3 linked regions of the Cricetulus griseus genome follow. The protein of the gene in region 1 purifies or fractionates together with the protein of each later gene. This does not show direct contact. Links are inferred from orthologs where the notes say so. Each region holds a gene or a part of one and is shown on either strand. Other genes may lie near its edges.

What was found.
Region 2: the proteins of Rpp30 (region 1) and Pop4 purify together in Homo sapiens (affinity purification with mass spectrometry; 4 studies listed by BioGRID and IntAct, counting the BioPlex papers as one, with this or other methods). This does not show direct contact. The link is inferred for Cricetulus griseus from reciprocal best matches to the Homo sapiens genes RPP30 and POP4.
Region 3: the proteins of Rpp30 (region 1) and Rpp25l purify together in Homo sapiens (co-immunoprecipitation; 3 studies listed by BioGRID and IntAct, counting the BioPlex papers as one, with this or other methods). This does not show direct contact. The link is inferred for Cricetulus griseus from reciprocal best matches to the Homo sapiens genes RPP30 and RPP25L.

The regions. Positions count from the first base shown.
Region 1 is NC_048596.1:25,691,133-25,695,380, reverse strand, and holds the start of Rpp30 (ribonuclease P protein subunit p30), read left to right. Parts: upstream 1-1,436; 5' UTR 1,437-1,502; coding exon 1,503-1,584; intron 1,585-2,809; coding exon 2,810-2,865; intron 2,866-4,248. UniProt on the Homo sapiens protein: Component of ribonuclease P, a ribonucleoprotein complex that generates mature tRNA molecules by cleaving their 5'-ends. Also a component of the MRP ribonuclease complex, which cleaves pre-rRNA sequences.
Region 2 is NC_048599.1:152,153,488-152,157,829, forward strand, and holds the start of Pop4 (ribonuclease P protein subunit p29), read left to right. Parts: upstream 1-1,408; 5' UTR 1,409-1,637; coding exon 1,638-1,644; intron 1,645-3,704; coding exon 3,705-3,757; intron 3,758-4,342. UniProt on the Homo sapiens protein: Component of ribonuclease P, a ribonucleoprotein complex that generates mature tRNA molecules by cleaving their 5'-ends.
Region 3 is NC_048595.1:100,887,777-100,891,278, forward strand, and holds Rpp25l (ribonuclease P protein subunit p25-like protein), read left to right. Parts: upstream 1-1,524; 5' UTR 1,525-1,561; coding exon 1,562-1,693; intron 1,694-1,709; exon of another isoform or gene 1,710-1,902; intron 1,903-2,108; coding exon 2,109-2,633; 3' UTR 2,634-2,906; downstream 2,907-3,502. UniProt on the Homo sapiens protein: May be a component of ribonuclease P or MRP.

The sequences.
Region 1 (4,248 bases):
AATCCAGATTTTGCGATCATGTATGAAGATGCCTTTCTACTTGTACAAAAGCCAGCACTAGACATTCTGTTGAAAAGCCAGTGGTTTGTTTTGTATGACTTTGCTCTAGTGGCAGAAGTTGTTTTGCTGTTGTTTTGTTTGGGGGAAATACCAAACAAAACAACAATTTTTTTCTTTATGTAAATTAACCAAAGCTAGGTGTGGCAAAGCACAGCTGTGATCCCAACGCTCGGGATTCTGAGACAAGAAGATTGTGAATTTGAGCCCACCCTGGGCTACTAACAATAACCTGTTTCAAAATAACAATAATAATAATAATAAATATTCTCTCAAAAATCAGTAAGAAATTAGAGACCATTATGTTGAAGAGTATTACTCAAAGTGTGATCAGAGGGGAAGTCCTCATACTGTTTGCAATCAGTACAGAAATTGAAATGTTTCTAAACCTTTTCAGCACTTCGTTATTGTCCTAATGGTCAAGTCCTACTGATCGATAGACTTTTCTTATTTGAGAACCCAGCAGTTCAGATATCATATTACTGAGCTGCAGGAGGCTGGGGCAGCTTATTGGTAATGCATAAAGGATTCCCATGCTAGCCAGCCAGAGACAGAATGGAAAGGAGTAAAGAACTGCCCTTCTGCATCAAGTGGATTAAAAAGAATGCCAGCATTTTATGCCGTCGGATAATTGATCTGCCAATATTCAAAAGTTAATTTTTAAAGTAGAAACATCAAATGATATTGCAATATGTCTCATGAAAATTTGTGTATTGTCGCTAAGCTTTCATCTTTGAGAGTGCCCTGCCATCTTGTGGTTGTAGATGTTTCTATAACAGAGACCCATTATCTTAGGCTTAGCCCAAAGAACTAAAACAATCCGCCCCAGAGCAAGCGCTTCAAAGAGGCTTTTAAGCCCATTTTCAAAGAATGGAATGGACATTAGAGAAAGGAAAGAAAAACATTTTCCCATGTCTCTTCATGTGCTTATCAACTTACCTACTTTGGAGACTTATGTATCCCTCTCTGGCCTGGATGTCACCGTGTAGATCAGGATGGCCTCAAACTCATAGAGTTGCCTCAGCCCTCCAATTGCTGGAACTGAAGGCGTGGGCCACCACCCCAGGCTCACCCAGCTCTTGGAACAGGGCTTCACGACCTTAGACGTCTGCTTGATCTCAAAATGCTCTATGGGTGTGTTTAGAATGAATCACTTTCTACTCTGTTGTATTGGCGAGAGGGGCGGGGGGAAAGACCCTACTGTGTCTACCAAACATTCTCGTTCAAATCACGACAAAAAGGGAGTAAGTGAGGCTGTAGGTTCGAGCACACTAACTTTGGCTGGTTTCTAGAGGACAGGAAATACTGTGCAGAGAGTAGACGACTGAGAAGGGAAAAACCACAAATCCCAGGATGCCAAAGTGACAGCCTACAACTCCCAGCATGCTCGAGGAATAACAGGGCGACTGCGCAGATTGGCGCGCGGGTGCTCCTGGGACGTCAGCATGGCGGCGTTCGCAGATTTGGACCTAAGAGCGGGCTCGGACTTGAAGGCTCTTCGGGGACTGGTGGAGACCGCTGCTCACCGTGAGTCTACTGGCTTCGCCCCGCGAGCCCGGCCCCTCGCTGCCCCCATACCACCGGTTTGCTTGGTAGTTTTTCCAGGCCCTATTATTGGGTCTCTCGTGGGATTGCGGCATTTCCCTAGAGGCAAATGGTAGTTGCTATGTCTCCCGGATCCCTGGCGTGTGAAACTCACAGGCTACTGAGGAAGCTGCCGTTGCCTGGGCTTGCACAGTCTTTCCGTGCGGAGGGAGAGAACAGAGGCCAAAGGGGTCGAGGTGTTGGCAAGGGGGCTGTGAGCTGATGAATGGTAGGCTCTGGGACTGGACTCCAGGTGTACAGTCCCCTAAGCCGGTGGGTGCTTTTAACGTCAGTCCTTTTGGGCCCCGACGACATCTGACAAATACAGAAAGCTGGGTCGCAGGCAGGAACTGCTGTGGACTCTTAGAGAATGGGGAGGGTGTTACCTTATTTCTCCCGAGTTTTAAGTTCCTTGGGGATGAGCATTAATCATGTGTGCTGTCGCCTGCCATAGGGTCTGTCAAATAATGGATGCTCTAATAGCTTGAACTCGGGAGTTATTAGACTAGTTTGCCATTACCATGCACTATCTTTTATATTAATACTCTATCATCTTGTTGGTCTTTAGACAACTTAAAGACAAGAGTCGTGATTTAGATGTGTTGGCGACAGAGGCACTTTTCCAAGCAGTGCTAACTGTTGTGAGGATAAGGCAAACCGTCGTTTTCCCTGTCTTTTACTGTAGAGCACCTCAAAAGAGGTGTAAGGGATTCGTCCTTCCATTGCACCTTCGGGTAAGGGAGGAAATAGAGCATCGCAGAAGAAATGAATGATAATGAAGGTGACGGAAAGACACATAAACTTGATGGAATAAAAATGAACAAAGGGGCAGGAAATCCTGAGAATATTGTTTGGAAAGCAGAAACAAGGTGTTTTTAGTGTTTTGCTAGCATAAATCACAGCCTAAATATGTGCCTGGCACTCTTCTAAAATGCTTAATTTTCATGACACTCTGAAGTGCTGTCTGCTGTTAACATCACTTGACAGATGAACAACCTGAAACATAACAGTAAATATTATTAAACCCTCTTACTTTCCAAGTCTAGAAACAGAATCCAGGGCTTTGTGTATGCTAAGCAAGCATTCTAACACTTAGCTACATCCCTAACCTCATCTCATACTCTTGAACAAGAAAGAATATTTTTTAAATAATCTATTTTTTTTTCAGTTGGATATTCAGTTGTTGCCATCAATCATATTGTTGACTTTAAGGAAAAGAAACAGGTAAAATAAGATTTCTCTGATTAATTAGTAAATAAATATTAAGACTTTACAAGCCCAGCAGTGGTGGCACACGCCTTTAATCCCAGCACTCCAGAGGCAGAGGCAGGCAGATCTCTGAGTTCAAGGCCAGTCTGGTCTACAAAGCTACACAGAGAAACCCTATCCCAGAAAAAAATATCAAAAACAACATTTACAAATATTTGTATTTGTGTTGGGAATAAGGAACTAGAAATGTGGACTTGTTGCAATGACCACATACTTAACAAAAACAACACAAGGAAGGAGGAGTTTATTTTCTTATACTTTGAAGGTATGGCAGCAGGAGCATGAAGTGGCTAGTCACAGTTCCTCCTCGGTCAGGAAGCAGGAGATGAATGCTGGGGCTCAGCTCACTTTCTCCTTTTTAGTTAGTTCCCTTAGAACTCCAACCCATGAAATAGCTCAGTTTGCATTCAGGGTGGGTCTTCCCTCCTGGGTTAACCCTTTATGGAAACACCATTATAGAAATACAGAGGTGTGTTTCCATCATCATTTCTAAGTCCAGTAAAATTGGTAGTGAAGCATAAGTCATCACAAGCATGTTTGCGTTTTGAGACAGAATCTTATGTGTCCCAATCTGGCCTGGAATTCAACTGTGTTGCCAACGAAGACCTCCTGCTAAGATTACAAGCCCATGCCCAGTTTATGAGATGCAGGGGTAGAAGGCAAGGTGGTGTGCATTTTAGAAATCACTCTACCTCTACTTACTGAGCTGCCATGTGGCAAGTCTTCTCTGTACTGCTAGCTCCCAAATAGTGAGACTTCTTATTATGAAAACTTGGCCTTAGCTGAGGGTTGTTTCTAACTAGCTCTTATGACTTAACCCATTTCTGTTAATCATCGTGCTGCCATGTAGTTTATGGTTTTTACCTCTCCTCCTACACGTCATGCTTCTTCTGAGTCCAGCTGTGACTCCCCCTTCTTCCCAGAGTTCTCTCTGTCCAGAAGTCCCACCTATACCTTCTACATAGCTGTTGGTCATTTAATATTTATTAAAACACAGTGACATATCTTTACACAATGTAATCAAATACCTTGCAACACTGTGTCTCCACCCTCTCTACTCACTGGGCTGCATCCCCAACCCTCAACTATACTTCTTTAAAAACACCCTATGCTTACTCTTTTACAGTAATAACTGAACTAATATATATCATACAAATTCAAAGATGTTTAAAATTACATTGCTGTTAAATGAGCTATAACCACGATATCTTGTTACCATGGTCTTATTAACTCATTTACTGATTTTTTTCCCATTTATTTATTTATTTATTTATTTATTTATTTTTCCGAGACAGGGTTTCTCTGTGGCTTTGGAGGCTGTCCTGGAACTAGATCTTG
Region 2 (4,342 bases), on another chromosome or scaffold:
CCAATTGATGTACATAGCCAGTTCTCAGACAGCCAGGCCTACAGAGGGAGACTCTGTCTCAAACAAGTGATCAGGTGTACATTATGGAGTTCACATGTTATGAGCTTTCAAGGGCACTTTCTCAAATACACTCTGATAGATGCTAAAATAGTTGCAGGCCTTTGTAAAGGAAACACATTTAGTGACCATCCTGCTGTTATCAGGCTGTCCCCAAACTCTAAATCCTATGTGCCTTACCATGTCCTGTACTGCTTAAGATCAAAATGGCACACACTTATCACCCAAAGATCTACAAAGCCTATGTTTCTTAAACAAGGATGCGGTGTTGTTTGCCCAAGTTTTTCTGAGAATTCTTTTTGCCTTTAAAAGGTTGCATAGTGCTCACTATTAAGAAAACCACTGCTTTCCCTTACCCACCCTCCAAGTTAGATCCAGCACTCAGGAAATTAAAGGCAGTGTCTGGACAGAACCAAGGCAACCTGAGCAGGCTTGGCTGGACCTTTGGATTCCAGAGAATCACTTTTTGTCTTTTATCATACTGACAGCACCAATTCTCCCAGTCTCAAGGATGCTTTTTGGGTTGGATGCAGGAAGGGAAGCCTACACAGGAATACTCCATTTCCAAGATCAGCCTAGGCTACATAGCAAATGTCTGGGCTACTCAGGGAGACTTTGTCTTTAGAGGAGAAAAATAAATTTAAAAAGCAAGTGTTCTGAGACCAAAGCCAGCTAAAGTTACTCTCTCTTTTCAGTCATAGGAAACAGACCCTTAAACGAGGTGATAAAAGTACTTAGTAGCTGAAACAGATGTAAATCCCCATCATCATTACACAATGTGACTAGTAATACTGTGAATGAATTCTAGGACAGCCATGGGCATTGACTCCCTTGCTTAAAAAATAAATAAATAAATAAATAAATAAATAAATAAATAAATAAATAAATAAATAAAACTGAGGGTTGTGGCAGTTGCCTTTAATCCAGCACGCAGGAGGCAGAGGCAGGAGGATCTCTGAGTTTGAGGCTGCCTGGTCTACAGAGTGAGTTCCAGGTCGGGCAGCGCTGTTAAACAGTGGAAACCCTGTCAGGGAAAACTGAAGGGAAAACAAAACTCCAAAGGACTCCTAAACCCTCACTGCAGCCATTACCTCCGCTATTTCAGGCGCATTCGGGCCTTCCTGGCCCCAGTCTCCCTGGCGTCCTCTTCAGGACAGCTCGCCTCCTGTGTTCCTGTGTTCTGACCCGCAACCCGACTGTGGCCGCCAGGGGGCGACACCAACTGAAGAGACAGCGAAAAACAGGCTCCGCTCCGCCAGCCACAGACGCGGCCGCCTCCCTCGCCCCTCCCTCGGCTGCAGAGCCAAACACAAGGCGCATGTCCGCCAGAGGCCGGCGCGGCTCCATGACGTCACGCGAGGCGCCATAGCGGAAGTCAGATCGGGGTCCATTGAAGTACTGGAGCGAGTCTGTGTGTGGACTGTGCCCGCGTCGTTTCTTGGGCACAGCGGATTTGTCCAGCGGAAATTTCAACCAGAAAGAGTCCCGGTGGCCGAAAGCTGCTGAAGAGAGCTAATAAAGGGAAGCAGTGAGCGAGGCCCGAAGGAGACTTCACCAGAGCTCGCGGGAAGCCGCCGACAATGAAGGGTCAGTGTCACGAGAGATTCGAAATCGGGGTGGATGACAGCATAGAGGGTCGGGAATGGAAGCCGAATCAGGGATCCTGTCACAACAGAGTCCCGAGACAACTTCCAGGCAACTGACTCAGTACACAAAAGCAGTCGAGGCCCAGAGTGTGAATCGGCCAACTCAGTCTCTAAGCTGGAATAGATGTCAGGATGAGTGTGTGGTACCCCAGGGAACTGGTGACGCTCAGGAGAACTGGAAGAGGTGCAGCCAAGGCCTTTAGCTTGTCCTGACCACTGCCTGCCTGTATAACTATTGCTCCCTTCCACATCCTGGCTTTTCACCCTTTCTCTTATAAAAAGCTTCCCGGGCGCAGTGTCACAAACCTAAGGCGTTGGTATTTGAGCAGAAAAGGGATGAGCCAGGAAGGGAAGCAAGCACTGGAGCGGTATTAGAGCAGAGAGAGCACAATGTAAAGATTAAGCCTCTGATCTAATGATTTCCACCCCTGCTGTGTCCTTTCATCCTCTGATGCCTTGGCATGACTCAATGTCAATATTATTATGTGCATACAAGGAAATAATTATATTCCGAATGGCTTAGAAAGGTTAATGAGATTGAAATAAATTATATACACACCTATGAGTATATATATGTACTTATGTATGCATGTATGTATGCATGTATGTGTTGCTGTAAAACAAGTACTTGACAAGCACTGAGTGTACCAGAGCTGTCACATGTGTACTGCAGCAGGAAGTCTTCCAGCTCTCATGCTAGGCATCTGCAGTAGGTAAAGCAACATTATTCCTGGGGTCCCAGGCCCTGCACATTTTCCTCAAGAAACAAAGTATAGTCTTAATCTGCAGTTCAAGGGAGAACTAAAGATTTTGTATGTAAAACTGGTAACTCTCTGGTCAGACATGTACCCAGGGAAGCACAAGAGAACAGACATGGGCTTTTGTTTGTTGGTTTGTTATTGTAGCTGTTGGGATGAGGTCAGCTATGTAGTCCTGACTGAGCTGGGACTCACTATGTAAGCTAGGCTGCCTCACCCTCTGAAGTGATGGGATCAACTGTGTGTGCCACCACACCCAGCTCAGAGACTGAGTGTATAGGGTGTAGTGTGAGCTACATATTCTGGTCATTTGCTCTTTCTTATCTCCTTTATTCCTGTACTCTGCCCCCACCACCATGGTGGTTTCCTCCAAACAAATACCAAACAGGAGCATGAGGTTTAGAGAAAGTTTGGCATCATGCTGGACATATTTAGAATTTGAAGAAAGACTGTTGTATCTATCTGGTCAGGGTACATTCCAATTTTATGGATTAAAGACTTAAAAATCTGTTTTAAACTTCTTGTACTCTGCAAATTGTTCAGTTTCAATCAACCACACCCTAGCCATTAATATCACCTCACTTTTAGTGTCTTCACTACTAAGTGAGCAACCACCCAAGCATAATTATAACTTGTATTTTCAATCAATCAATGTGCACCATTGAGGAATTTTTTTGGACATGCAGAGTCTAGAGTAGAAATTAAAACCGGTGTCTTTATAAGAGTCCAGTGATTCTTAAACAAGTTAAGCTTTGAGAGGTGCTCTTTTAAACCTCATCCTGGGAATTTCCAGGACAAATCTCTGGCCAAGGGAAGAGTAAAATGTATCTGGGATAATTGTGGTGGTACACGTGTATAATCCAGCAACTAGCACTTGGGTGCCTAAGACAGGAGTACTGAGGGTTTAAGGCCACTGTGGGCTATATAGCGAACTCTAAGCCAGCCCAGGATACAAACTGAAAGCCTGTCTTTAAATAAATGTGTAAATAAGCCGCATTGAGTAGGGTCGGGGGCATGGATCCATGGTGAAGCCTGCCCTGCATTAAACCCCACTGAGTTTAATCTCCTGGCACTGCAGAGTATAATAGAAGGATCATCCAAGAAAGCTTTGCCTTTTCATACTAACCCAGTAGTCCTCATCTGAATAAGAGTGCTTATTCAGAAGTCATAGTTGGAAAAGCCTTGGATATTATACTCACTCCTCACAGGAAGTAATCTTCTCTTTTTGTCTTTTATCCCCCAGCTGTGATTTACCATGCCCTTTCTCATAAAGAAGCCAAAGAGCACGATGTACAGGTACAATCTTTGAAAGGTGGGCTGGGAGCAGGAGACGTGGCAACAAAGATGGCTCAGAGTCTGGTCTAGCTGTCCTTCCCATGGATTACTTCTCATCTTTACATTCAGTACATTAGGCCCCATCAAGGTCTTTAGTGCTGATGTCTTCTTGTGCCAGGCTCCTTTCCTAGGGTACCAGAGTCACTCTGAGGGACTTGGATTCCTTGATTTCATGTCATCTCCCACTCTGTAGGGAATGACAGTGACAGCCTGTGCCTGAAACCTCTCTTGTTCTTGCTTCTCTGCCCTGTTCAGTGTGCTCAGCCTATTTCATAAGTGAATGTTACAGATTCTATCTGGGTATGTCAGCAAGCTTTGTCAGTTGGGCTGAAGCTTCACATGTGGCTCATAAAGAGAGCATATTCTGCCAGGCTGTGTGGAGCTTGCCTTTAATCCCGGCACGTGGGAGGGAGAAGCAAGAAGCTGTCTCATTTCAAGGACAGCCAGAGCTACACAGAGAAAACCCGTTCCTGAAAAACAAACAAACAAAAACACACACAGACACACAGACACACAGACACACAGACACACACACACACACACACA
Region 3 (3,502 bases), on another chromosome or scaffold:
CTGTGCCACCCTGTCTTTGTGAGGCAGAGACAGCTTTGTATTTATTCAATTCAAAGACTACCTGTCTGCTCAGTTGGGGCTCTGAGGTCAGAGATCAGGTTACCTTAGAGTCATGATTTGCACTCCCCATCAGTGTATTTATTCCAATGACAATAAACTGTAGCTACCGCTGAAGGTGTGTTTTGGCTTGCTGATCTAAGATGGGCTTGGCTGTGAGAACTGGAATGGTGAAGGGGAGAGCTGTCACTATCAGGGTGGGACCTGGAACTACTCCTGGTCGAGCTTCTGAAAGATGTAGTACTCTTGCATCTGATTGATACAGTGGGGCATTGTATATTTATCCCACATTTTCCAACTGCCCTCTAAATATCAGATCCTACGGCACGTAAGGAGGGCACAGGTAGGGTCACCTCATTTCTGTATAGGGTTTGGGGGAAGACCAAGAAAGTGGTAGTCCTACCAGGTGGGGCTCAGCATGCCAGGATGATCATGGAGGAACAAGCAGGGACGTTCAGAGCCAAGGCAGCATAGCCTTGTGTCTACCGAATACCAGAAGAGGAGCCAAGAGGCTTGGATGCAGTGAATTTTAGGATCTGGGAAGGAGGAGCAGATGATGGGAAAGCTTGGATGAACAGTTTAAGCACCGCGCTCCACCAAGTGTATGCTGCCCTCTTGTGGCCTGAGGGAGTGCCTCGGCTCCTTCAACTGCCTGTAGACCAACCAATTTGTAGTTTTGCTGGCACGCAAAATGCAGCTTGTCCAAAACGATCTGAAACTAGCAGTCATCCTAGACTATTCCAACAAATAGTTCCCGGCTCTTTCCCAGAACTTCCTACGAGTTTTTACCAAGTTAATTAATCTCTTCTCAATTCTTGCCATTTCGGTGGTTAATCAACATGTTGGACAGATGTTGCAGAACCTGTTTCACTCTGAGTACTGTACTAGGTTCCGTGGGCACCCTCCTACCCCCGCGCCTGACGCGTTATGATGGTGCAGGGTACAGACCCTTCCCAAGGTCACGGTATCTGTTGCCCCCACTACCGGATCCTCCTAGCCTATACGCCAATCTATGGCCAATGAGTTGTGCACAAGTTATGGCTTAGTCCCTTCTGAAGACTACCAGGGTTGTCCAGTGCCCCAGGATGAGAACAAAGCTCAGAACTAAGGGTCTCGCCCGCTTGTATCCACCAATGCTTCAGCTTCTCCTTCACCGATGCGGTGAGTCAACAGGTGACGCGCACCATCCATCGTTTAAGGGCACAGATTCGCATTCTTCATGCTCAGGACTCCTCCGATAGCCATTCCTCTCCCGGGCAGGGCCCTCTGCGGGTTCTGGCGTGCTTCGGCATCACCGCGGACCGCGGGATGCGGGCCAGCTGCGGGTACCAGCTCAGCTGAGCCCAACGGCGTCCCGGGTTTCCCTCAGGCCCCGCCCCCTGCGTGCGCGCTCCCGCGGCCCCGTGCGCTCCCGGTCTGCGCGCCATCTTGGGTCGAGCGTGGACGGGCGGTAGTGGTAAGAGCCAAATCCCAGGGCCTGGGTACTCAGACGTGGGGAAAGGGGATGTCTGCTGCCTGGGACAGCGGCCCACGACCGGGGAGCCCGCCAGACCGTCCATGTTTGGTCCGAGCAGTGGTCTGTGCGAGCCCCCACTCTCGAGTTCCCGAATGGCCTGGCTCAAGCCCCCCAACCCTGGTAATCTAAGGATGAAGTCTACTCAGCCGGCCGAGAGCCCGGAGGGGCCGGTTCTTTCTTTAGGGAGTACTTTGTGAGAGTTCGTGGCTGTGCCCCAGGCAGCCTGGGGCCAAGTCTTGATTCTGTTTCCTGGAAGCACACAGTGAGAGGAGCTTGTCCGAGTCCTTGGAAGCCTAGTGAGGAAAGGCTCCTGTTTTAGAGAGTTGTGGGTGAGGAGGGGTCTGGCCTAGCCCTGAAAAGCTTGAGCTGATGAAGCATGGCCCTATCCCGGATAGCCTGGTTTGGGGAGTGGGGGGAGTTTGGTTCTTTCCGTGTGTAAGACTCTCCAGCCTTGGGGTGAGGGGTATATCCTGGAGGGAGTGATGGAGGATGGACCTGGTCATAGTCCTGACACTCATCTGACCGCTTCCCCCAGTGCACAGCAAGAGAGATTCACCAAGGCCACCGGAGCAGAATGGAACACTACCGGAGGGCTGGCTCTGTAGAGCTCCCAGCATCTTCACCAATGCCCCAGCTACCTCCTGACACCCTGGAAATGCGAGTCCGAGATGGGAGCAAAATCCGAAACCTGCTAGGACTGGCTTTGGGTCGTTTGGAGGGGGGGAGCACAAGGCATGTGGTGTTCTCAGGCTCTGGCCGGGCAGCTGGGAAGGCTGTCAGCTGTGCAGAGATTGTCAAACGGCGGGTCCCAGGCCTCCACCAACTCACCAAGCTTCGTTTCCTGCAAACTGAGGACAGCTGGGTCCCAACCTCACCAGACACAGGCCTAGACCCCCTCACAGTTCGACGTCACGTGCCTGCAGTGTGGGTGCTACTCAGTCGGGACCCCTTGGACCCCAGTGAATGTGGCTACCAACCCCCGGGAGCGCCCCCAGGCCTGGGCTCCATACCTAGCTGTGGTCCCAGACCCCGAAGAAGGGCTCGGGACACCCGGTCCTGAAGACCTGCTGAGCCTGACTGTACTCTAGACCTGATTCTCTGTGCCTTCTGTAAGAAGGGCTTGTGTGACACTTAACATGCCAGCAAGGCTTGAGTCCACTGGAGTCCTGCCTCCCCTCCCCCCTGGGATGCGGGATGCTATGAAGAATGAAGGGCATATGGGGTCAGTGCTGAGTTACAGACTGCTTGAGAAGGGCTTACTCTGTCTACAGTATATCTGACTTGCCTTTTTTGACATCAGTCTAGGAGAGGGAAATAAAGGTCATGCCCATTTGTTTGGCCTGCTTGTGTGTAAGTGGGATTGGAGGGGTGTGAGGCCCGCCTTGCCCCGGAGCTCATGGCCTGGAGGCCAGAAGGGTAGGTAGAGGCCGCTGCTGGGTGGATCTGGTGTCAATACATTTCAAGCAGTCACCTGCATGACTTTTTGCCACCTGCTTTAAGCTGGCTTGGGACTCAACCAGGTCAGGCATTTCTCCCATCTGTGTCATATGTTTTAGAATAGTGGGATCATGAACTCGGGCTTTGCCTGTCACGGTTTTAGTCCTGGCTCTCCCACTCACAAGTTACTGCTTTGTAGTTTTGGATAAAGCTACTTCCTGGACCTTTGTGCTCCCATCTGTAAAATGGGGTGTAGAGGGTTTACCTCATTGGCATTCTTTTTTAATAATTTATGTTCATTGGTGTGAAGATGACAGATTTCCTGGAGCTGGAGTTACATACAATTGTGAGCTGCCATGTGTGTGCTGAGAATTGAACCCAGGACCTCTGAAACAGCAGCCAGTGCTCTTAACTGCTGAGCCATCTCCAGTCCGCCCCCCCCCCATTAGAGTTCTTATAAAGAGGTGTCCATATTTGACACTCAGATACCAC